Linked DNA regions of Arabidopsis thaliana. The protein of the gene in region 1 interacts with the protein of each later gene in a biochemical or structural test. Each region holds a gene or a part of one and is shown on either strand. Other genes may lie near its edges. The genes, in order: CAB2 and CAO.

Region 1 (12,912 bases):
CATAAAAAAATCTTGTAGTTGCAGCGAGAGATTTAGTATCATTATACAAATCACCCAAATTTCTTATTTTTTTTTAATTTCCTAACCCTTGTCTTTATATGATCTCCCAGACAGAAAATATTGATCTTTCAGATCAGAATAGCCGATTTGATAGTGGTTCTAAAAGTTTTAGGAGGAGTACTAACAAAGCAGAACATTTTCGTATCGATGCTGATGGGTTACCATCTGTTGGACAGGTAAATAACTGCTTTCTATCCTCTCTATGTACTGTAAGTTAAATATTTAATTTTAGTTTCCTTGTCAACTTTCATAGAAACTCACTAATTTGTTGGGTTTAACGCAGAAATTATATCCAGATGAGCCGTATTGTAGTATCTATGATGAGGTAACTAACAAAACAAGGCACATGAAGCGTAAAGGTACCGACCCTGTCATAGTTGACTTTGTCTCTGTCGACATGAAAAGCAAGAAACATCCTCAAAGGGTGAGGTTTAACTCCAACTATCGCATAGACAGATTCCAATTGGCTTAAAATCTAATTTTCGAGTTTCTTGGCAGGCGAATATTCGTTTCCGGCATGCCAGAAACCCCATAATCGGTGACAAGTTCAGCAGTAGACATGGGCAAAAGGGTGTTTGTTCTCAATTGTGGCCTGATATTGACATGCCATTTAATGGAGTTACTGGAATGCGTCCAGATCTCATCATTAACCCGCATGCTTTCCCATCAAGAATGACAATTGCTATGCTTTTGGAATCTATTGCTGCTAAGGTATCCTTCAGAATTTTTCTCCTTAGAAATTTGTCTGATTCTTAGGTTCCATCGACGCTGATGCTGTGCATCTTCTTTTCATGTGTTGTTGAACCCTTCCCATTTTTATTTTTAGCTGGTAAGTAAAGTATATGTAATGCTTATATCCTCGGCTTTTACAGGGAGGTAGTTTGCATGGAAAGTTTGTAGATGCAACACCGTTTCGTGATGCAGTAAAAAAAACAAACGGAGAAGAGGAGAGCAAGTCCAGTTTGCTTGTTGATGATCTTGGCTCCATGTTAAAGGAAAAAGGGTTCAACCATTATGGTACCGAGACATTGTATAGTGGGTATTTAGGAGTAGAACTGAAGTGTGAGATATTTATGGGGCCTGTTTACTACCAGAGACTGCGTCACATGGTCTCAGACAAATTCCAGGTTTTTCGACCCTTCTGGCTTCATTTCTTTTATCATCCTGACATATAGTCTCCAACTGGCACTTGTCTCATCTTCGTGCTATATCTGAATCATAATACTCTGGCTTACAGGTTAGATCTACGGGACAAGTGGATCAGCTAACTCATCAGCCAATAAAGGGAAGAAAACGAGGTGGTGGGATTCGGTTTGGTGAAATGGAGCGAGACTCACTACTTGCTCATGGAGCCTCCTATCTATTACACGACAGGCTTCATACATCTTCAGATCACCACATTGCAGATGTGTGTTCGCTATGTGGAAGCTTGCTCACATCATCTGTTGTGAACGTTCAACAGAAGAAGCTTATTCAAGAAATTGGAAAGTTACCTCCTGGTAGAACTCCAAAGAAGGTAACTTGCTATTCTTGCAAGACAAGTAAAGGCATGGAAACAGTTGCAATGCCCTATGTGTTCAGGTACTTGGCTGCAGAGTTGGCTTCAATGAATATTAAGATGACTCTTCAGTTAAGCGATAGAGAAGGAGTAACTGATTAAGATTTTACACCAGAGGAAGAAAAAAATAACCAGATCTTTACAATGTACTAGTGTGTAGAAGAATATATTATTCATCAGTTTTTGGTTTTGCTTTGTTAGTATATTTTCTAGTGGAAAACGTCATCTATTTTTGGTCAAAGTGAATTTTTAAACAAATGTGTTTGATTTGTACGGATAAAATCAATGAATTTTTGATTCTCCAATACCATTAACTTAACTTTGACATGTATAAGTTGTTCAATTGTGGTAATAAACTCTGCAATTGAGTGATCCGAAGGACATAAAACGAATCCAATTTGGTAATTGCCAGATAATTTGAGAGAAAAACGAGTTATTTGATTAATGAAAAAAATACAAAGTCTTGCAAATTTTACATCTAAACAAGCTCTCTTTCTCCTCTCACACTCACGAAGCAAAGACTGAAGCAAAATACAGATAAAACTTGGCTCACTTTCCGGGAACAAAGTTGGTGGCGAAGGCCCATGCGTTGTTGTTAACTGGATCGGCCAAATGGTCAGCAAGGTTCTCTATCGGTCCCTTACCAGTGACGATGGCTTGAACGAAGAATCCAAACATAGAGAACATAGCCAATCTTCCGTTCTTGAGCTCCTTCACCTTCAACTCAGCGAATGCCTCTGGGTCGGTAGCCAAACCCAATGGGTCGAAGCTGCCACCGGGGTAAAGCAAGTCCTCGGCCTCTCCCAATGGCCCATTTCCTGCGACTCTGTAGCCTTCAACGGCTCCCATCAAAATAACTTGTGTGGCCCAAATGGCCAAAATGCTCTGAGCGTGAACCAAGCTAGGGTTTCCCAAGTAATCGAGCCCTCCATCGCTGAAGATCTGTGAACCGGCCTTGAACCAAACCGCCTCTCCGAACTTGACTCCGTTTCTAGCCAAAAGCTCAGGGAAGACGCAGCCTAGGGCTCCGAGCATGGCCCACCTGCTGTGGATAACTTCTAGTTCACGGTTCCTTGCGAATGTCTCGGGGTCAGCTGAAAGTCCGGCGGTGTCCCATCCGTAGTCTCCGGGGAACTCTCCGGTAAGGTAGCTCGGTGATTCGCCAGAGAATGGACCCAAGTACTTGACACGGTCAGATCCGTACCATGGGCTGCCTGATGGGCCCTTTGGCTTGGCAACAGTCTTCCTCATTGTCACACGGCCGCTTCCAAGGACTTCAGATGCCGCGGGGGAAAGCTTGACGGCCTTACCGGCGAAGGCAGGGGAGGAGAGAGCCATTGTTGAGGCGGCCATTGAGGTTGAGTAGTGCAGCACAAAGTAAAACGTTTAAGATTTGTTGTTGTAAGCCAAGAAATGGGTGGTTTGGTATTGATGCGATTTTCGCTATATATAATACAGAAATCTAAATACTGTCTTATCTTGAAATATCAATCTCTGAGGTTGCTATTGGCTAGTCATAGATTTTTTTTGGGGTTTAGATTGTTTGTTTGCTTACGTGGTTAATGGCTCGCACTTCGCAGATTCGCAATTGATATGTGTTTTAGATATCTAGGTGCGTTTCATGGATTGGCGAAACACCCACTCATGACGTGACACGTATACGAATAGATCTCTCTATCCTTATGAAATCCTGAGAGCATCAATGTAAACCAAAACAAAAAAAATTTGGATAATTGCCTTGTATAATACATTTTATTAAACCTTTTGTATATATGCTTCTTTTTTTTTTCTTCTTCTGATAATAATAATAACTCTTGGCTAGAGATAAAACATAAGAACAAAGTAGATAAAACTATAAAATTTATGTATGGAAATAAGATTATCTAAAACTACGGAATTGAATCAAACTTTACCACAGAAACATAAGAAATTATTACCATCTTAATTAGCACCTGTATTGACCATAATATTTTATTAGAAGAAGAAGAAAACATTGGAATCCACCAGATCAAGGTGATGGTCAGGGTCATAAGACAGCTCCATAATCACGAGTCATGGTCATAGACTCATAGCCACAAGTCTGCTTCTCCCTTACCAATACCAACGGCTTCAACAACGGCCACAACTAATAAGCCAATTCCAACGGCCACCATATAACTGAACCGGATATTCACCAAACCCATTTCAACCGGAAATTGATCCACAAGTAATTAAAAATGTTCTGACCAAATGTGGAATAGGTGGGAAAATGTTGAAGTAAAGGCCAATTCTATAATGTGAGAGGAAAACTCTTTTTTGAGCTTCAGGAATATTTTCTTAGACCTGACCTTGAATCTATATTTTGTAGTTCTTCAATGATTTGATTTCTCTATTCATTTCCTTATAAATTAAATTACTTGTGAAATGAATTTCTGTTTAGAAAAACCTTGAACTTCCTAGTTGACCAAAGGATTAGAAAATCTTTCTAAGTGGAGTGTCTCCTAATAATGGATCAAAAGTGTTTGGAGCAAAAAAGAACGCATAGTGTATTAGTGTTAACAGCTTTTATAGTTCAAAGTTTAGAATGTGCTCTAAAGCATATGTGTGAGCCTGTGAGGTCTAGTGATTGTAAAAAAGAAAAATTGTGCTTCGTGGAAAGTGATGCAATAAACAACACTTCTAGGGCTGAGTAAAACCAACTAGACATGTAATGATAGCTTAAACCGTTTTCTATAGGAGTGTGATTGAGGAGTAATTTGTTGATGAATTCGGAAAAAGCGAATAAATAAGTTTGTTCAAAAGGTTGTTGAAGTTTACAATAAAGATAACTTGAATCATGATAAGAAAAAAAGTAGCTATATGTTCTCTAAAGTCTAAACCCATGATGATGAACATGCCATATGAATTAATATAGTTCTTTCATGTTCTTAGAAATGGTCGATAAGTTAAAACAGTGTTTCATTAATCGTTGTGTTTCTTCGATAAAGAGTAAAACGTCAAAGTTTTAAGGTGATATCACATAATTCATGAGATTATTTTGGTTATTGGATAAAGTGACGATGAAATCGATTCATAATTGAAATTAAACTGGTAGTGATGATGAACTAATTACCATTGAAAATATTGATATTTATGTGTGGGTAAATGCTTTTTATAATGTTACTTTATATTAATGTTTCGATCATCAGAATCTATATTTTCAAAATGTTATACTTTAAGTTTTAGTTATTGGGTTGTAGCAAAAATCATTCTTGTCACGAGGGTGTAAGTAAGTGTAACCGTTGAAGTATTCAGTGGCTCATAACTTGTGGTCACAAAACGCTTGGCTGCAATGAAAAAATCAAAACAAATGCTGGTGGACTAGAGATTGCCACGTAAGACTACTAAACGATAAAACAAAAATCTTAAAATCCAATGAATGAACAGATAAAGATTACTTCAGATATAACAAACGTTACAATATCCCTATATAATCCAACACTATCGAACCAGTTTTAATCACTCTCACTCACAAGTTAGTCATAAAAAAAAAAAAAACACAAAAAAGTTTCAATGGCCGCCTCAACAATGGCTCTCTCCTCCCCTGCTTTCGCCGGAAAGGCTGTGAACCTTTCCCCTGCGGCATCAGAAGTCCTTGGAAGCGGCCGTGTGACAATGAGGAAGACTGTTGCCAAGCCAAAGGGTCCATCAGGCAGCCCATGGTACGGATCCGACCGAGTCAAGTACTTGGGTCCATTCTCTGGCGAGTCACCCAGCTACCTTACCGGAGAGTTCCCTGGAGACTACGGATGGGACACAGCTGGTCTATCCGCTGACCCCGAGACATTCGCAAGGAACCGTGAGCTAGAAGTTATCCACAGCAGGTGGGCCATGCTCGGAGCCCTAGGCTGCGTCTTCCCTGAGCTTTTGGCCAGGAACGGAGTCAAGTTTGGAGAGGCAGTTTGGTTCAAGGCTGGTTCACAGATCTTCAGCGATGGAGGGCTCGATTACTTGGGAAACCCTAGCTTGGTTCACGCTCAGAGCATTTTGGCCATTTGGGCCACACAAGTTATTTTGATGGGAGCCGTTGAAGGTTACAGAGTCGCAGGAAATGGGCCATTGGGAGAGGCCGAGGACTTGCTTTACCCCGGTGGCAGTTTCGACCCATTGGGTTTGGCTACCGACCCAGAGGCCTTCGCTGAGTTGAAGGTAAAGGAGCTCAAGAACGGAAGATTGGCTATGTTCTCTATGTTTGGATTCTTCGTTCAAGCCATCGTCACTGGTAAGGGACCGATAGAGAACCTTGCTGACCATTTGGCCGATCCAGTCAACAACAACGCTTGGGCCTTTGCCACCAACTTTGTTCCCGGAAAGTGAGCCAAGTTCTATCTGTTTGTAATTTACTTTTCTTTCAATCTTTTGAATTCGAGTGAGAGACAGGAGGAGAAAGAGTAGGTTTGTGTTTGTGGTGGATGGTAGAGACTTTCAGATGTAAATTTGCAAAGACTTTGTATGATTTGTCATTAATCAAATAACTCATTGTTCTCTAAATATGTTTCGTAGAACTATAATTGAATTGGATTTTCAGTTCTTGGGTTCACTCCGTTGTAGAGGCTATTTCTACAATCGAGCAACGTGATTGAACATATTAAGGCAATGGGTACAAAGATTATGTTCTTTTCAAATCAAGAGAAAATGTGATTCTCGGATGTTAGCTTGAACAACACGAAAGAGTCTTTTATATAAGTTTTTTATATTCCCTTGATTTAACTTGTATATCGTCTCTTCACAAAATATGATCGCATTGAAGAAGAAATTGCAATCGTTTTTTTTCTTCTGATTGAGAGAATTAGAGAATAGATAATGAAGTAGTTTCTTCCGTGTTTGGTTGATTCTGAAGCTCGTAACATTGGCTCATACGATATCTGGATAACAATATATCACATTGCTCTGATACCATATTAAAATCACATCCACGCATTGAATGGACTGATCATATATCTTACATATTAGTTAAAATCCATTGTCGTGCGAGAGATTGCCTTCCGTGACATCCTCTGTGGACCAGGTTCGCTTGTCACACTAGCTATAATTGGTGAACACATGATAACATATATGTTTGGAGCATAGAAGAGCTAGCGCCTGTGTCATTGGTGTGTGGTATCGAAAGAACAAGAGAATAGAACAGGAGAACATGAATATAGCTAGGTTTATTCATTTTCACCCCAAAGCTTAGAAATTGCGTTCCAAAGAGTGGGTGAATTCATGTGTGAGGGCAATTAGTGATTGTAAAAATAAAATTGTGTTTTGTAAAAAACTTTTACTGTCGAAATTATTTAGGGTGATGAAAAAATCAGTAAACTACGAATGATAGCTTAAAGAGTTTCTATCAAAGTGATTGAGGAATAGTTTGTTGCAAATTAAACCTCTAACAAAATGTTTTCTGTTGTGGTTTTTCATCTCTACAAATTTTGAATTTTATGATGAATTAGAAAGATAGAATGAGTTACTTTAGATTTTAAAAGGTTGTTCAAGTTTACAAAACAGATTACTAGAATCATGATTAAAAATTTACAAGCTACATATTGTCTAAACCAATGATGTTGAACATACCAGATGATAGTTTTTCAGTGTTTGAACAATCAATTGGATAGTTTTTATGTTTCTGCAAAATATGCAAATAATCAGTGTTTTTGAGTCTTTGCATTTTGATTTAAAAGCAAAAACAACTGAGTTTCAAGGTTAAATTAATTACATTATTCATGAGATTTATCAGGTTAGTGGATAAACTGACAATGGAATCAATGTTATTGTAAATTGGTAGTGATGTTGGACTTCTAATGTTACTCTCTATGATGTTTCGGTCATCAATATCACACTATCTTTACTTTTATTTAAAGGAAAGATCACACAAATAAGTTATCTCTATTCAGAACTATTAAGCTGCTTCCAAAAGACTTGCAACATGTGGTCTCGAAATGCTTTGGCTGCAATGAAAAAATCATAGCAAAAGCTAGTGGACTAGAGACTGCCACATAAGAATAGTAAACGTTAAAACCAAAATCTCAAAAATCCAATGAGTAAAGAGATATAGATTACTTCATAGATAACAAACGTTACTCGCAATTTTCCTATATAATCCAACCCTACCTAACCATTTTCAATCACTCTCACTCACAAGTTAGTCACCAAAAAAAAAAAAAAACACAAAAAGTTTCAATGGCCGCCTCCACAATGGCTCTCTCCTCCCCTGCCTTCGCCGGAAAGGCTGTGAACCTTTCCCCCGCGGCATCTGAAGTCCTCGGAAGCGGCCGTGTGACAATGAGGAAGACTGTTGCCAAGCCAAAGGGTCCATCAGGCAGCCCATGGTACGGATCCGACCGAGTCAAGTACTTGGGTCCATTCTCTGGCGAGTCACCGAGCTACCTTACCGGAGAGTTCCCCGGAGACTACGGATGGGACACCGCTGGACTTTCAGCTGATCCCGAGACATTCGCAAGGAACCGTGAGCTAGAAGTTATCCACAGCAGGTGGGCTATGCTCGGAGCCCTAGGCTGCGTCTTCCCTGAGCTTTTGGCTAGGAACGGAGTCAAGTTCGGAGAGGCGGTTTGGTTCAAGGCCGGTTCACAGATCTTTAGCGATGGAGGACTCGATTACTTGGGAAACCCTAGCTTGGTCCACGCTCAGAGCATTTTGGCCATTTGGGCCACTCAAGTTATCTTGATGGGAGCTGTTGAAGGCTACAGAGTCGCAGGAAATGGGCCGTTGGGAGAGGCCGAGGACTTGCTTTACCCCGGTGGCAGCTTCGACCCATTGGGTCTTGCTACCGACCCAGAGGCTTTCGCGGAGTTGAAGGTGAAGGAGCTCAAGAACGGAAGATTGGCTATGTTCTCTATGTTTGGATTCTTCGTTCAAGCCATTGTCACTGGTAAGGGACCGATAGAGAACCTTGCTGACCATTTGGCCGATCCAGTCAACAACAACGCATGGGCCTTCGCAACCAACTTTGTTCCCGGAAAGTGAGCCAAGTTTTATCAGTTTGTATTTTGCTTTTCTTTCAGTCTTTTGAATTCGAGTGAGAGACATGAGGAGAAAGAGAAGGTTGTATGTGATGGTTTGAGACTTTCAGATGTAAATTTGCAAGACTTTGTATGATTTGTCATTAATCAAACTCAATTTTCTCTCATACTAGTCTCGTATTAACTAAAATTCAAATGGAATGTTCTTGGGTTCGCTCAAATGAAGAGGCTGTTTCTACAATTGCACAATCTTATAGAACATAACTCGAGTTTAAGCCAAGCGTTACATGACCTGATACAATCAAAGGCTTGTGTATATCTGAATTAAAGGAACAAAGCCGATTGATAAATCACAAGTTTGCTGCATTTTCGAAGATTATTCATAGAAATGCTTATGGGTAACAAAATCCGTTAAAATTTATCGTAAAAAAGTTCCACACAAACGATCAACACACAACAAAAAAACTAACTCAGACGAGCAAAGAAGATACATTCTTTACCTCAAAGAAGTCCTGAAGAGCGGTCATTTTAATGGCACTTGACTTCAAGCTCTTGATTCCCTCAGCAGTGGCCAATGCACCAGCAACAGTGGTTATAACAGGTACCTTGTATGCTAGAGCCATTTGTCTGAGCTGTCTCCCATCTTTCTGATCAAGAGCATCACCCGAGCTTGTGATCAACATCAAATGGATCTGACCATTCGCCACCATATCAGCAGCATGTGGTCTTCCTTCATGCAACTTCAACACTCTCTCCACTGGAATGCCTTTCAGTTCCAGGAAATGAGCTGTTCCCGAGGTGGCAACTATTTTGAACCCAAGCTCGAGGAAGGACACCGCGATTTTCTCCAGGTGCGGTTTGGTCATATCGTTTAAGCTGAGGAAGACTGTGCCTGATAGAGGTAGCTTTTGACCTGCAGCGATCTGAGCCATTGCAAACGCACTTGAGAATTCAGAACTGATGCTCATCACTTCTCCTGTGCTTCTCATCTCTGGCCCGAGTATCACATCGCATCCTTGGAACTTCTCAAACGGGAAAACAGCTTCTTTCACAGAGACATGTTTAGGGATAACTTCTTTTTCAAAGTTAAGATCTTTGAGAGATTTGCCCGACATGACCAGCGCTGCATACTTGGCAAGAGGGTGTCCAATGGCTTTTGACACAAAAGGGACAGTACGGGAAGCTCGGGGATTGGCTTCCAGCAAAAAAACATCCCCAGATGTTGTGATTGCGTACTGACAGTTCATCAGCCCACATACATTTAGCTTCTTCGCCAGCTTAGTGGTCCATGTTCGAATAGTTTGCAAACAAGAAGCTGGGATGGTTTGTGTTGGAAGCATACAAGCTGAGTCACCAGAATGCACACCAGCTTGTTCGATATGCTCCATTATTCCACCAATCACCACATTTCCATAGGAATCAGTAAGGGTATCAACGTCGATCTCAATGGCATCAGAAAGATATTTATCTACCAAAACAGGTCTCTCTGGGTCAACTTGTACCGCATTTTCCAAATAGGTTATTAGTCTACTGTCATCATAAACGATCTCCATTGCTCGTCCACCTAGAACATAAGAAGGTCTTACCACAACTGGGTACCCTACCTCCTTTGCTATGGCTAATGCATCAGCTTCGCTCTTTGCAATGCCTCCCTTGGGCTGCTCAATCTTCAGCTCGTCGAGAATTGCATTGAACCTCTCTCTGTCTTCAGCAGCGTCAATGGAGTCAGGTGATGTACCCCAGATGCGAACAGGTCCCGCTCCGCTCAAGCTCATGGGCATGTGCTTATCCAAATAATGTTTGATCGGCAGAGCAAGTTTCAGAGGAGTTTGACCACCAAATTGCACTATTATGCCATCAGGTTTCTCAAGGTCGATAACATTGAGAACATCCTCGATTGTGAGAGGTTCAAAATAGAGCCTATCGCTTGTATCATAATCTGTGGATACTGTTTCAGGATTTGAGTTCAACATTATGGTCTCATATCCAGCATCCTGCAAATAAATTAAAAAAAGTAGATAAGTAAGTTTAGCATAAAAAAGTTGAAACAATGTTTACTGGCTTTTGGGAGAGACGCTTAGATTGTCTAAAGACATACCTGTAAGGCGAAAGATGTGTGGCAACAACAGTAATCAAATTCAATCCCTTGACCAATGCGGTTTGGCCCTCCACCCAAAATCAAAACCTTCTTCTTGTTGTTTGGAGCTGATTCACATTCAACATCATATGAAGAGTACATGTATGGTGTATGCGCTTCGAACTCTGCAGCACATGTATCCACTCTCTTGTAAGATGGAACAACTCCTAGAGAAATCCGCTTGGTACGGACTTCTTCCTCGGTTGTCTTTGTAGCAAAAGCGATTTGCTTGTCACTAAATCCCCGCTTTTTGACTTCGTAAAGGTCTTCTTTTGTAATCTCTGACAAGGTTCCGGACATAAGATACTGTTCGACGTCCACGAGCTCTTTAAGCTGGGTTAGGAACCACTTGTCCACCATGCTCAACTCGTAGATTTCATCAATTTTCATACCCTTTTTCATGGCAGCATATATCGCATGGATCCTGTCAGGATTTGGGACTCTTAGGCTGTATTTCAGCTGATCCCAGTCCCAATCTAGCTCTTTAATTTTTGCACAACCCCAACCCGAGAATCCACACTCCAGAGACCTCAGAGCTTTCTGGAAAGATTCTTGGAATGTACGGCCGAGAGCCATAGATTCCCCAACAGATTTCATCTGGGTCGTTAGCAATGGCTGAGATCCTGGAAACTTTTCAAATGCAAATCGAGGAATCTGCATGGTAAAGAAATAGATATCGTTAAGCAAAATATGCATTTGAGTTTATATATCATGAAGTGGATAGATGTGTGTAAATCTTCAAAGTCAAGCGTATCTCATTTCGCAACACAAATAAAGCCAAAAGTATGGAATGACAAACCTTAGTCACCACATAATCGATGGAGGGCTCGAAGCTAGCCGGTGTTTTCCTCGTGATATCATTAGGAATCTGATCCAAGGTATAGCCAACAGACAACTTGGCAGCCATTTTAGCAATGGGAAACCCTGTAGCCTTGGAAGCAAGAGCAGAAGATCTTGAGACCCTAGGGTTCATCTCTATGATCATAACTTCACCATCAACCGGGTTGACAGCAAACTGCACATTAGATCCACCACACTCAACACCAATCTCCCGTATAATCGCAATGGAATAATCCCTAAGCCGCTGGTACTCTCTATCCGTTAGAGTCTGTGCAGGTGCCACAGTGATGGAATCACCAGTGTGCACACCCATAGGATCAATATTCTCAATGGAACAGATAATGACAACATTGTCAGCTAAGTCTCTCATCACCTCAAGCTCATATTCTTTCCAACCCAACAAGGATTTCTCCACAAGAACTTGACTTGTCGCACTCGCAGCCAAACCCGATTTACATATAGACTCAAACTCCTCTTTGTTATACGCAATTCCACCACCAGTACCACCTAAAGTAAACGCAGGACGGATAATCAAAGGGAACTCACCAATTTTCTCAGCAATGTCAAAACACTCATCAAGAGTGGTCCCAATCCCTGAAGGTGGAGTCTTTAGCCCAATGTTCTTCATCGCATCCTTGAACAACTCACGATCTTCAGCTTTCTTAATCGCACCAAGCTTAGCTCCTATCAATTCAACACCGTATTTCTCCAAAGCACCACTCTCAGCAAGAGCAACCGCGAGGTTCAATGCGGTTTGACCACCCATGGTTGGTAACAAAGCGTCAGGCCTCTCTTTCTCAATAACCTGCTCGACAAGCTCAGGAGTCATCGGAGCGATATAAGTCCGATTAGCAGTTTCCGGATCAGTCATGATAGTGGCAGGATTCGAATTGATCAGGATAACCTCATAGCCCTCTTCTCTTAAGGCTTTACAAGCTTGAGTACCAGAGTAATCAAACTCACAAGCTTGTCCAATGACAATCGGACCAGCGCCGAGAATCATAATCTTCTTCAGATCGGTTCTCTTGCCGACGATCTCCGGAGAAAAAGGCTTGGTAGTGGTGTCGGCGAGCTCTGAGACGGGTTTGAGAACATGCGTGAGGGAGCTTTTCCGATTGAGACATGGGGGGAAAGTGGAGAAGGAAGAAGAAGACGAGGCTTGTTTTGGTTTTGATCTGTAATAGATGGCAGAGCGAGAGAAGAAAGTGGAATAGGAGAGCTTGGAAGGAGAGAAACGAGGATTGGATTTGGAAGAAGCGAAAATGGAGGAACAATTGGAAGAGAGTTCTAAGCAATGGTTTCTCATTTTTGCTTCTTCTTCTTCTTCTTCTTCTAAGTTT
Region 2 (13,516 bases), on another chromosome or scaffold:
CGAAACAAATTATCATTCGGTTTAAGATTTTTTTTCTTTTTTTGAATGAGGTTTGGTGAATTCATGTCTTCATTCTAATATAATCATTCAACGTCAGAGTCCGAATGTATTTTTTTATAATAATTCTAAATCAAATCTAACTACCTCGTTTTCATAAGCAACAACTATCTATTTCAAAAAATAAAATAAAAACGAATAAAACAAGGCATATATTGCTTAACGTATGGATCAAAAAGCTATACAATAACAGAGTAAAAAGAAGAAACTGAGAATTTAATATTATTAGTGTTTGAAAAATTAGGGATTTTTTTTGTGTGGAATAGCACATGGATAACTCATTCCCACGTGAAATCTAATCCGAGAACACGTGCCTTTCCGCAGAGGTCTCTCTGACTTTTTTTGATTAGTTTCAAGTTCCAGCAATTTCAAAATTCAAAGAGGTCTAAATTGTGTGAATTTGAGCAACTAGCTCGATGCTTGTTTTGATGCCCAACGTTAATATTTTTTTGGTTTCGACTAAACAACAAAATCATGACGTTTTTATTTGCTAATTACAATATTTATAATTATTCTATTTGACTTTTAATATCATTCCTTCGGACACTTATTTTGTTCTATCTAAAACCCATGTCTTGGGATATGGTTCCATTTGCCGAGCATTCTGCAGTCACCAGTCACCAGTCAGCACCACCCAAAATAAGATACTAATTTATTTATTTTTATTTTCTTATACGTCAACTAATTATTACTATATATATGTTGACTATGAGATACTTGGATATTACTTTTGTAAACTTTATCGTTTGAAATTATATGGTGTATTTTAGTCTAAGCGATTTTGTGGACTTAAACTCGTATTTATTAGAGGTTTTTTTTAATAAACTAAAGAAAAATAATAAGAGTATTTATCCAAGTATTATATTGAATGAAATCTTTTATATCTGAGATCGAAAAAATGTCCAATATAGTTTAGCTGTTTAAGATCATTTTGTATATTCGTCATTTTGTGCCTCCTCGGATACAAACATGCTTAAAGAATGGGGACCGTTAATTACGTTTAATCAAACCTAAAGCTATTTGAAAACTTAACTAAGGATGATAAAATGAAATGAGTATAGTAAAATATCTTCTCGATATATGTCATTATAATAACAGATAGATTCCCAGTGCTTTAAATTTACTCGAACCATCCTGGCAAAATCTGTGACCACTAGCTTTAAACCTAACGTCTTCATCAATGACAGTGTCTGATATATATGTATATGAGAATAAATTTATAATTTCTCCCCTGTACGTTAACGTTGTGTCTCAATGTAATTATAATTACTATTAGCTCACGTAATGAGTGCAGGATTAAGATTATTGAATTCGAAATGAATATATTTGGACTCACCCATATAACATATATATATATACAGGTCCAAATAAATGCGGGAGGAAAATTGTACCTGTAAAATAACCAATTAATCATATTTTTCTTTCTTTCTTGTTGTTGGATTATAGTGATTTTCTTATCTAGGAAAATAGAGTTCCCAATTATAAGGGCTAACTGTCCCTTGACAGAAAAAAAGAATCCTATGAGAAGAAAATTGAATGATATTTGCATCTATCTATAATCGTTTCATTTGATTTTACTATTAGCAACAAATTTATTTGATTTAATACAAACTTCAAAGGAAGTCGAGGCAGAACCAGAACATGTGTTTTTTCCACTTATGCATTTATTTGTTTATGATGAGCCTGTCCTTTTTGTTTTTGCCCTCTTCTTATTTTATGTACCACAAACTCCATCAACGCGATATATCACGGGTATTCTTTTTTTCCATTGTTTTATACAAACTATTGTAACTAGCATTATATATATAAAAAAGGACTTTAATTTTGTAGTTTTTATACGTAACGACTGTTCATATCATTGACTTTATACCTTTATACGAAACCTTTTTCACGTATAGAAAATTATATCTAAGTTTTTATTATAAATGTTTTTGTTATTGTTAACCTACTTTAACAAGAAGAAGAAGAAAAAAAAATAGGAAAGGTTTTGTTGTAAGAAATTGTATTAAAAAATAACATATTTACAACACGATGTGCTGTTATAAAAGCAAACTTATGAGTCCGAATGTTTTTGATCTGATTTAAAATACCAAAAACTAAAAAAGAAAAGAAAACACACAATGACTTTAATATGTAAAATACAAACAAATGTTGCAAAAGAAATTAAGAGAGTTTGGTAATGCCAAATAGGCAAAAGAATAATTTATGTGTGGCAAGCAATGAACAAAGCTGAGCTGTACATGTACCACACCTTTCATTCATTGGTTACCATCTAACTGAAAGTGACACGTGTCTTATAATCAACAAGGCTTTTCTGACGTGGCAGTGCATTTAATTATTTGATTTGACAAGTTTAGGCTATCGTTGTCAAACAAATTAACTTAATTGTATCAAAATTGCTCGCACAGTACGTAATTCTATTTTAAGTTTAAAATCAACGGAGACACTAGTGTCCTATTTAATTATCTCCAAGTAAAGAAAAGAAAAAATAAATATTTGTGCTTAGTTGATTAAAAATTAAAAAGCACGATTCTTGTCTTGAGCTCCTTACAGCTTACAAGATAATTAAGAACCAAATCACTTTTTTTGGTTAAAACAAATCATAATGTTAGAGGCTAGAGATACTTATGATGTTACCATGCACTTTCCCCTTAATAACTAGCTCACTTAATTACAGTAATACCATACAGTAATATCTACTTGATGTGCCTATTGAGTCATCGATCCAATGAACTTATTCACTGCTTCAATTTTATGAAATATCATTATTTTAACGTAAACATCATTACTAGTGTTTTTATCATCAAATTACCGATTTAGTGTAAGTAAATCGAATCAGTTTTTAAATACTGTTGGACACATATATACATAGACATGCCAATTACTCAAGTATCATGTTGGTTTGCATATACTCTAGTTTTAATCAGGGTTTATATTATTTCAATTTAAGTAAACGCATGCTAAATGATAGATCATGAAATAGAATTAGGGTATCCATTGTTTAATGAAATGAATCGTTGAACTGGTATAACATGCAAAAAGATAATGTATCCACTATGTAAGCATTATAAGGTGCCGCTATAACAAAAATATCCACATGGTCAAGACTGAAACGTCGCATTATCAAACAATATTACATGCTCAATTGTTAAATTTTCTAGCCAAATTAATAATATCGTCATGGAGGAAAAAAAATAGAGTTGAATAATTGGCAATGATCATAATGGATATGGGTTTCTCAAAAACGCAATCATATATCGTGCGACAAGGTTACAGTAATATAGATATCATGCTTATTCCAAAACGACGACTAAAACGTAAAAGATTACAGAACTAGTAAACGAGTATATAATGTTAGGGAATGTTCTTTAATTTATAATCTAGCTAGTATAAATCACATATCCTATTTCATATGCGAGATATGAACAACAAAGTAGTATACTTAATTGAATCAATAATAATCCAAATTAAATTTATATGGTTTAGATCATAGAGAACCTAAATATCTAAAACTAACAAAGTCTAAACCACCTCGATTAATTGGGAATAGGATGATAATATAAAGTCTAGATTTTGTTTTAGTTCAAAAATCGAAACAAAATCTTACTGTAATTAACTTACTACGTTCCCTTACTGAAGATTGATCACCACACGGTAAAAAAAACACCGTTAAAAGGTTAAACCAAAAATATTGCTAAGAAGACATTATTTGGTTAGTTGAATGAAAAATTAGGGAATGGGAAGTGTGAAACCTACCTAAAATATGGCTATGTAGATGATATTCATTGAAGAGAGAGAGAATATAGAAGTGTAAAAAGAGAAAATGGTGCCAGCTATGAATTAGAAGGATCAAAGCTTTCTCTGAAGCTGTCATCTATCTCTCTCTTTCCTTATAGTGCTCTGTTTCTCTCCACATTCACACACTCTCCCTCTCTCTCTCCATTATTAAATCACTTGTTGTTGTCTTTCTTTTTTCAAACCTTGGAAGCAAGGAATTCTTTTTTGATGATTTAATCGAAAGCTTCTTCCTCCAAACAAACATCAATGGCGGTTTATCCTAACGTTAATGGCGATAAGAAGCACTGGTGGTTCACTCACAGAAAGGTATAAGCGATCTCTAACCTGGAAATACAGTTCTTGATTCAAAGATCATCATCAATCATGTTAACTTTTTTTGGGTTTTCTCAGCTTGTTGATAAGTATATAAAGGATGCAACAACTTTAATGGCAAGTGAGGAGGCAAACGACGTCGCTTCAGCTCTTCATTTACTAGACGCAGCCTTATCTATCTCCCCGCGTTTGGAAACTGCGTTAGAGCTCAAGGCTAGATCTCTCCTCTTCCTCCGTCGTTTCAAGGATGTCGCCGATATGCTTCAGGATTATATCCCCAGTCTTAAACTCGACGACGAAGGATCCGCTTCTTCTCAAGGCTCTTCTTCCTCCGACGGTATCAACCTTCTCTCCGACGCCTCTTCCCCTGGCTCCTTTAAATGCTTCTCTGTTTCCGACTTGAAGAAGAAAGTCATGGCAGGCATTTGTAAAAAATGCGACAAAGAAGGGCAATGGAGGTAATATAACTTTTAACTCTCTTTTTTGTTTTACTTATTACTTTCAAGCAAAACGCAATCGTTGATTTTTAAACGCTGTTTCAGGTATGTGGTGTTGGGTCAAGCTTGTTGCCATCTAGGACTAATGGAGGATGCCATGGTTCTCCTACAAACCGGTAAACGCCTCGCCTCCGCCGAGTTCCGTCGCCGGAGTATTTGCTGGTCCGACGATAGCTTCCTTCTCCTCTCCGAATCCTCCTCTGCTTCTTCTCCACCACCCGAGAGCGAGAACTTCACCCATCTCCTCGCTCACATCAAGCTTCTTCTCCGTCGTCGCGCCGCTGCAATCGCCGCTCTCGACGCTGGACTGTTCTCCGAGTCGATCCGTCACTTCTCCAAGATCGTCGATGGCCGTCGCCCTGCGCCTCAAGGATTCCTCGCCGAATGCTACATGCATCGAGCCGCCGCTTATAGATCCGCCGGTAGAATCGCGGAAGCGATCGCCGATTGCAATAAAACCCTAGCTCTTGAACCCTCGTGTATCCAGGCGTTAGAAACCAGAGCCGCGCTTCTAGAAACGGTCAGGTGTTTTCCAGATTCGCTTCACGATCTAGAACACTTGAAGCTTCTCTACAACACCATTTTACGCGATCGGAAGCTTCCGGGTCCGGTGTGGAAGCGGCACAACGTGAAATACAGAGAGATTCCTGGGAAATTGTGCGTTTTGACAACGAAAACGCAGAAACTTAAGCAGAAAATCGCAAACGGAGAAACTGGGAATGTCGATTATTACGGCTTGATCGGAGTCAGACGCGGATGCACCAGATCGGAGCTCGATCGAGCTCATCTATTGCTATGTCTCAGATACAAACCCGATAGAGCCTCTTCTTTCATCGAACGGTGCGAGTTCACCGATCAAAACGACGTCGATTCGGTTAGAGATCGAGCCAAAATGTCGTCTCTGTTGCTTTACCGTTTGATTCAGAAAGGATACACCGCCGTGACAGCGATCATAGCCGAGGAGCAGAGGAAGAACGCCATTGCTCACGCTCAAAAGATTGAAGAACGCAAACCGGTTGAAAAATCCGGTTCTATTAAGAGAACCGGAAACGCTGAAACGAAACCGGTAAATTCCAATGCGTACCAAGGAGTATTCTGTAGAGATCTCGCTGCGGTTGGGAATCTACTAACCAGGGCTGGTTTCAACCATCCAATCCCGGTTAAATACGAAGCGCTCACCTGCTAAAAAATATTGAACCGAATTTTTTATCCTACCATGTCAGCCACTGGAAACGTCGTCGTTTCCGTAGATTCGTCTTCGGACAGAAAAACAAATCATTCAGCCGTCAAAAAAGAAAATAAAATAAGAAAATATATATACATTTGATGTATGAATACAAATGAAACAATGTATTTAGGTTTGGAAGATTATTCCAACTACAAGAAAATTTTGTCACTTTACTTTTATCTTCAATGTTCGTCTCCTTTGTTTCTTCTTCATCTTCATGTGCATATAAAACGACAGAAGCTTGATTTGCACGTAAATTAAAATACTAGTATCAAAACTTTTTTTTTCATTTTATTATCAAAATTATCTCTTAAGCTATTGAGCACTAATTTATTTTTTATTATTGAGTTCTCGAGATTTGCCTAGAAATAGTCGATGAGTCTGGCTCACGTCAGTAATATTCGGATGAGTCCTTATCTATAAAGTTTGGCTGCCATTTGATGGTATTGGGATGATTAATTTAATTAGGCAAATAAAATATAGATGGTGAAAACTAAATAAAAACTATTCACTTGCTGTATAATAATGTTAATACTCATATCATGTAAATCACTGAAGTGCAAATTCAAAAAAAAAAAAAAAAAAAAATGGTCTGCTTGCCATTTAAAGATGTTTAAAGATGGAGTAAGTATATATACACAAGTCGTAAAATCAAACACAAATAATATATTGACAAACTCATATATCATAATGTATACATACCAATTTAAATCCACAAGAAAATATCATATGAATGAGAAAACCAACCACATTTACAATTTTACTCATATTTATTTTATTGTTTTATATTTTTCTTTTCTTTTTGATGAGAATGTCTTAACACAATTATCTAGTATATAAAGATTTTTTCCAAAAAATAGAAGAACCTGTTGATTTTCTAAAAGTAGAAGAAAATAAGTGCAGTCCATAAAATAAAATCCTATAAAAATGTTAAAACTAGATTCTTTTTTAAAAAACTAAAATTTGCTGCAGACATCTAAAATTTTCGAAAATGATTGGGTGGCTAAGATTTCTTATCCACTAGAAAATCCAGTGAGTCCCGTTAACTCTCTTCTCTTCTCTAGTCTTGTCTTCTATTATGCAAAAGGTCTTCTTGGCCATGGATACTTGTGCTCTAGTAATCCATCAGTCTCTGTCTCGCATCAAACTTTCTCCTCCCAAATCTTCTTCTTCTTCTTCTTCTGCTTTCTCCCCTGAATCCTTACCGATCAGACGGATCGAGCTGTGTTTCCGAGGAGCTATATGTGCCGCCGTACAAAGAAACTACGAAGAAACGACCTCCTCCGTGGAAGAGGCAGAGGAAGATGATGAGTCATCATCATCGTACGGAGAAGTGAACAAGATCATTGGAAGCCGAACGGCGGGGGAAGGAGCCATGGAGTACCTTATCGAGTGGAAGGACGGCCATTCTCCGTCGTGGGTTCCATCGAGCTACATCGCAGCAGACGTAGTGTCGGAGTACGAGACACCCTGGTGGACGGCAGCTAGAAAAGCCGACGAGCAGGCCCTGTCACAGCTCCTGGAGGACCGAGACGTCGATGCCGTGGACGAAAACGGCCGGACGGCTCTGCTTTTCGTGGCAGGTCTGGGGTCGGACAAGTGCGTAAGGCTTCTGGCGGAGGCTGGAGCCGATCTCGACCACCGAGACATGAGGGGAGGCTTGACGGCGCTGCACATGGCGGCTGGTTACGTGAGGCCGGAGGTGGTGGAGGCGCTGGTGGAGCTGGGAGCTGATATTGAAGTGGAAGACGAGAGAGGGTTAACGGCGTTGGAACTAGCGAGGGAGATTCTGAAGACGACGCCGAAGGGGAATCCGATGCAGTTCGGGAGGAGAATTGGGTTAGAGAAAGTGATCAATGTCCTGGAAGGACAAGTGTTCGAGTACGCCGAGGTGGATGAGATCGTAGAGAAACGAGGGAAAGGCAAAGACGTTGAATATCTGGTCAGATGGAAGGACGGTGGAGATTGCGAGTGGGTGAAAGGTGTACACGTGGCGGAAGATGTGGCTAAGGACTACGAGGATGGGCTGGAGTACGCTGTAGCGGAGAGTGTGATCGGGAAGAGGGTGGGAGACGATGGGAAGACCATCGAGTATCTTGTCAAATGGACTGATATGTCTGATGCCACTTGGGAGCCTCAGGACAATGTCGACTCTACTCTTGTTCTACTCTACCAACAACAACAACCAATGAATGAATGATTGATTTTGATGATTACATTCTTCTCAATTTGCTTCTTTCTCATATGTGTTGGTTCATCTGACCGGTTCGGTTGGTACGTACCGGTACATTTTCATTTTCTTTTAAGATGTGATCTTGATGGTTTTTGGCCTTTTGGGGACACTATTTGATTTTATATCCATGCTTTGAATTTTGCTTCCCTTTTTGGGGAGATTCATGATGCTGGCTGACTTGCTCTTTATCGTCCCAGGTTTAGAGAATACATCGTCTTAGGCTTTTCTTTATCTCAAAACCCATTTACATTTAATTGGGCCTATATATTTCATATAGGAAGAGAGTACATGTAAACCCAATACACAACTTTTATTTATGGGTCCGTTTCTTGTAACATTTGTTGGTGATAAAAACAACTTCTGAAGAGTGATAATGTACAACTGCACTTTGCGATTAAGGAAATTATAGAAAGATACAAAGTCTGAATAAATGACTAGAAAATATGAATAAGTAGTATCCATTCTTCTCTAATTCAACATCATTTTTTTTTTTTTTTTTTTTTGACGATATTCGATGCATTGTGTCTATATGAGAGAAATTTTGGTTTGTCAGTTAATGGCTAGACTTTTATTATTATGAGCATCTAGATTTTCAGTGCATGTGATGTTACGTTGATGATGGACATAAGGAGACAAAAAGGACGGAGTTGATTTAGTACACATTTTCGTTTCTTTGTGAATACAACGATCGCCTATTTTTCGTTTGTAATTTTCCTCTTAATTCGAGAGGGGCCTCTAGTCATGTGTGTTACTTCTAGTTATAGTGACATGAACGGATGAGAAAAGTTTCTTTTTGTAAACAACATGCGTACGTAAATCAACCAAATATATTTAGTATAACAACCAAATTACTGTTGGACAACCAACCAAACAACAATTATGTAGATTATAGATTAGAGAAAACAAGGAACTAGGTCGATTAACCGCGACCACATTAGCCAAGTCCTCCAGTCGATTAATATAAATTGATGCCAAATATATTAGTTTTCACTGGGTTTTATATTATACTATCAGACCACAGAAGACATCACGTCACAGTTAACAACACTACATATTTCAGATTTTGTATGAAACGTAACTAGGTTTATATATGAGACCTTTTAACCAATTAAATGATAGTGATATGGTTTGTAACATTGTATTGTATGTATTTTAGTTGATGTGTGTGGTTGGTAAGGTATAAATTAGCTAGTGTTACGAAAAATGACTTCTTGCTTTTTCTTTCAAATTGAACGACGCTCTATTTCACTTAAATAAAACCACATTTAGTTATTTCAATGACAACATACTAAGTTTTTTCTTACATAAATTAAAAAGTAATTTTGGTTTCAGTCCAAATTTTTCTAGTTATAGGAAAGAAAATGAAAGAGTTGCTTTCAAAATATTGAATCCATTGTATTTAATTTTGAATATTGAATAGTATGTACTAAAGTCTTTTCTTTAGTAGACCAATCTAAATACGAACGAAAGTACCAAAACCATACGAAACGGCAAATAATGACATGTGGGGAACACGTAGTTAGATGAGCAGTAAATGGGAAACATATTTTGATGGTTGTCCTCATATTTTCGTGTATCGAGTTAGATAAGGAAACCTGTGAAAATTTATTTCTCAAAAGATTCCGTAAGATTCCGTCGAATATAATTGATATTTCAGTATTTTGGACTGGCAGCGAATATGGCAGACTATACAGATTGATCGTCTTCCGGCGTTGTTATAGACATTAACAAACTTTAACTACTCGTTTGCTTAATTAGGACCATCTGATGACTTTATTCTAAGTTCAAATTTAGATGACCTCTCTTTCTTGAACATATACTTGTTACATACTTAATTCATTGTGTTATTGCAATAAGTGAATTGTGTGGTTATCACTAACACGCTGACGTAAATTTACACGTGTTTATATGAACGCACACGTGTTTTGTAGCTCGAGCAAAAGACCATCTGGTCAACGGACTAGGAGGATCCGGCGTAAATCCTTTATATAATTTTTATCAAAATTATAAGAAGAACAAAAAATGTGCGATTACTATCTGATCTACGTATTCACGTGACAAACAACAATTAATTTCAATAAAGATCTACTAACTTTAGAGAAAAAATCTTATGTGTTAATAAAAAAGTAACGTCAATGATCTCGGCACACACTAGAATTAGTGTCTAAGAGAACCACGACGAACCTGCACGGACCGACCACGAGTCTCTCGACGGTGAATAAGCCACGACTTCAGTCTCCTTCTAAACCAACGTGGCGCTTCTTACACCACACACGTGTCATCATCTCCTTCTCCCTCGAACCCGCAAGCTCTTTTAATCCCTTTCAATTAATTAATTAACTATATATCACCTGCCCCTATATATATCTAAATCAGTCACTTTTTGCTTCTGTTGTCTGTCACTCAGTAACTTCTCTTTCTCACTTACACACTCTCTCTCTCTCTCTCCATTGCCTTGACTTTTGTGGTCAGTGGAATAAACACATATAACCGCCGGAGAAAATGGGAAGAGCGCCATGTTGCGAGAAGGTCGGTATCAAGAGAGGGCGGTGGACGGCGGAGGAGGACCAGATTCTCTCCAACTACATTCAATCCAACGGTGAAGGTTCTTGGAGATCTCTCCCCAAAAATGCCGGTAATAACATTTACACTTTTATTAACAAGATCATGCAACACAAACTTAATTTAATCTATAACAATGTATATATGAGAGAATAAGACATAGAGAAATAATCGTGGTTCTTGTCGTAATCTTCATGAAACATGGATTCTTAGTCAGTTTTTTTTTTTTGCTTTTGATAAAAGAATTAAGGATTGTTAGTAAGTTTTTTAAAAAATAAATTAAATTTTTAGGAAGGTTAGAAGTTTAACTGCAACCCTAATCTTTGTTTCCAATTTATTTCAGTTTTTGGGTTTTTCTTTTTTCGTGCGAATCACAGTCACGGTGGGTTGTTTAATGTAGATATATGTAAAATGCTGCCAAGTGCATGCTTTAAGAGGGTAGGTTATGTTATAGACTTATAGTATATGGACAAATGTTTAAAAGGAAATACAAACAGAAGCGTATTTATGTATTTTTGTCCGTTGTATATCATTTCAAGAATCAGATCAAAACCATATGACTAGTTTTGATTTGATTTCTAACCTCGCTTTTAATAGAAGGTTACTTAATGTAGTAGTTGAGAATTTTTTGTAGTTGTGATATATATTATATGCATAAGATATATGAATAAATACAATGATCAAAAAGCTAAGAATCTCGTGAGCAGTCACACATCAGACCCTAGTTAAATTAATAAATACCTGAAAACTTTATCAAAATTTATCTAACAAAATCTGCATAAACATATATTTTGACGTATGAATCTGCATCTAAATATGAAGTGTATTATTATATTGTTAATTGTTTTTATTTGTTTTTTGGAAAAGGATTAAAAAGGTGTGGAAAGAGCTGTAGATTGAGATGGATAAACTATCTAAGATCAGACCTCAAGCGTGGAAACATAACTCCAGAAGAAGAAGAACTCGTTGTTAAATTGCATTCCACTTTGGGAAACAGGTACTCTATTATTTTACTTTATTTTCCAAACTCTATTTTATTTATTATGTTTTTCATTTTTTCCCATTTATATTCGTTCAATTTGTTTTTATGCACTGTATCGTATAATAATGATATCATGTCGACCAAGTAAGTGGAGATTCGGTATTATAAGACGGCTTAATTACGATTATTCTCTCTCTTAAATACTATAAACTTTAGCGAAGCACATTTTTATGGTTGGAAAATTTAATTTAAAGTCGAAATGGTAAAATAAAAATACTATTTTATCGTCGAATGAGAAATAGTTATTTCGTTGTGGGTCTTCCTCTTAACCATTGGGGTGTTAGACTTTTTCTCTTTTAGTTGAGACAAACTAAATTGTACCTCATTTTTTTTACACTTCGTATATTACATAAGCATTAATAGGAACACAGTTGATATAACACATGTGCATCTGTACAACAACACTTCAAACAAAATACAGTCACATATGTATTGCAAGTTTTCAACATGAAAAACTAGTAAACATGAGAAAAAAAAAGCGAGGATCTGTTTATTTAAAATTTTAATTATTATTACTCAACGTTAAACAAGTATATGTGATTCATAGTAGTGTCCGCTAAAATAAATCCAATATTGGAAATCGGACAAGGAACTCAACGAGAGTAGTACGAATTAGTCATCGTCACTCATTACTGACATTGCTCGAGCGATGTCATGATTAGGTCAGCAGTCATATCAACATGGCAAATCAAATTTAGAACACTATTCTATTGATTCTCATTGGGCCACGAGGTTCTCTTATTCCCCGGAAAGATATTTAATTTTATCAAGGTTGTTCCAAATTGTGAATAGAGGATTAATATAATGCAATGAACAGAGGATTAATTATTGATTAATGCAATGCATGTAGGTGGTCACTAATCGCGGGTCATCTACCAGGGAGAACAGACAACGAAATAAAAAATTATTGGAACTCTCATCTCAGCCGTAAACTCCACAACTTCATTAGGAAGCCATCCATCTCTCAAGACGTCTCCGCCGTAATCATGACGAACGCTTCTTCAGCGCCACCGCCGCCGCAGGCAAAACGCAGACTTGGGAGAACGAGTAGGTCCGCTATGAAACCAAAAATCCACAGAACAAAAACTCGTAAAACGAAGAAAACGTCTGCACCACCGGAGCCTAACGCCGATGTAGCTGGGGCTGATAAAGAAGCATTAATGGTGGAGTCAAGTGGAGCCGAGGCTGAGCTAGGACGACCATGTGACTACTATGGAGATGATTGTAACAAAAATCTCATGAGCATTAATGGCGATAATGGAGTTTTAACGTTTGATGATGATATCATCGATCTTTTGTTGGACGAGTCAGATCCTGGCCACTTGTACACAAACACAACGTGCGGTGGTGATGGGGAGTTGCATAACATAAGAGACTCTGAAGGAGCCAGAGGGTTCTCGGATACTTGGAACCAAGGGAATCTCGACTGTCTTCTTCAGTCTTGTCCATCGGTGGAGTCGTTTCTCAACTACGACCACCAAGTTAACGATGCGTCGACGGATGAGTTTATCGATTGGGATTGTGTTTGGCAAGAAGGTAGTGATAATAATCTTTGGCATGAGAAAGAGAATCCCGACTCAATGGTCTCGTGGCTTTTAGACGGTGATGATGAGGCCACGATCGGGAATAGTAATTGTGAGAACTTTGGAGAACCGTTAGATCATGACGACGAAAGCGCTTTGGTCGCTTGGCTTCTGTCATGATGATATTGATTGATCCGTTATGTAATCTTTTTTGTGCATTCACAGTTTGAATCTATTCCACGTCGTATCATATCATAAAGTTTA

The links.
Region 2: the proteins of CAB2 (region 1) and CAO form a complex in vitro, tested with the Arabidopsis thaliana proteins (one study listed by BioGRID).

What each region holds. Positions count from the first base shown.
Region 1 is NC_003070.9:10,468,130-10,481,041, reverse strand, and holds CAB2 (chlorophyll A/B-binding protein 2), read left to right. Parts: upstream 1-5,072; 5' UTR 5,073-5,149; coding exon 5,150-5,953; 3' UTR 5,954-6,386; downstream 6,387-12,912. Other genes in the region: NRPA2 (nuclear RNA polymerase A2), read left to right, coding at 111-236, 344-484, 559-771, 933-1,187, 1,298-1,720; CAB1 (chlorophyll A/B binding protein 1), read right to left, coding at 2,168-2,971; CAB3 (chlorophyll A/B binding protein 3), read left to right, coding at 7,796-8,599; CARB (carbamoyl phosphate synthetase B), read right to left, coding at 9,066-10,589, 10,694-11,386, 11,532-12,878.
Region 2 is NC_003071.7:19,465,811-19,479,326, forward strand, and holds CAO (chloroplast signal recognition particle component (CAO)), read left to right. Parts: upstream 1-6,762; 5' UTR 6,763-6,970; coding exon 6,971-8,092; 3' UTR 8,093-8,577; downstream 8,578-13,516. Other genes in the region: AT2G47440 (Tetratricopeptide repeat (TPR)-like superfamily protein), read left to right, coding at 4,102-4,161, 4,246-4,625, 4,710-5,850; MYB12 (myb domain protein 12), read left to right, coding at 10,628-10,760, 11,555-11,684, 12,580-13,432.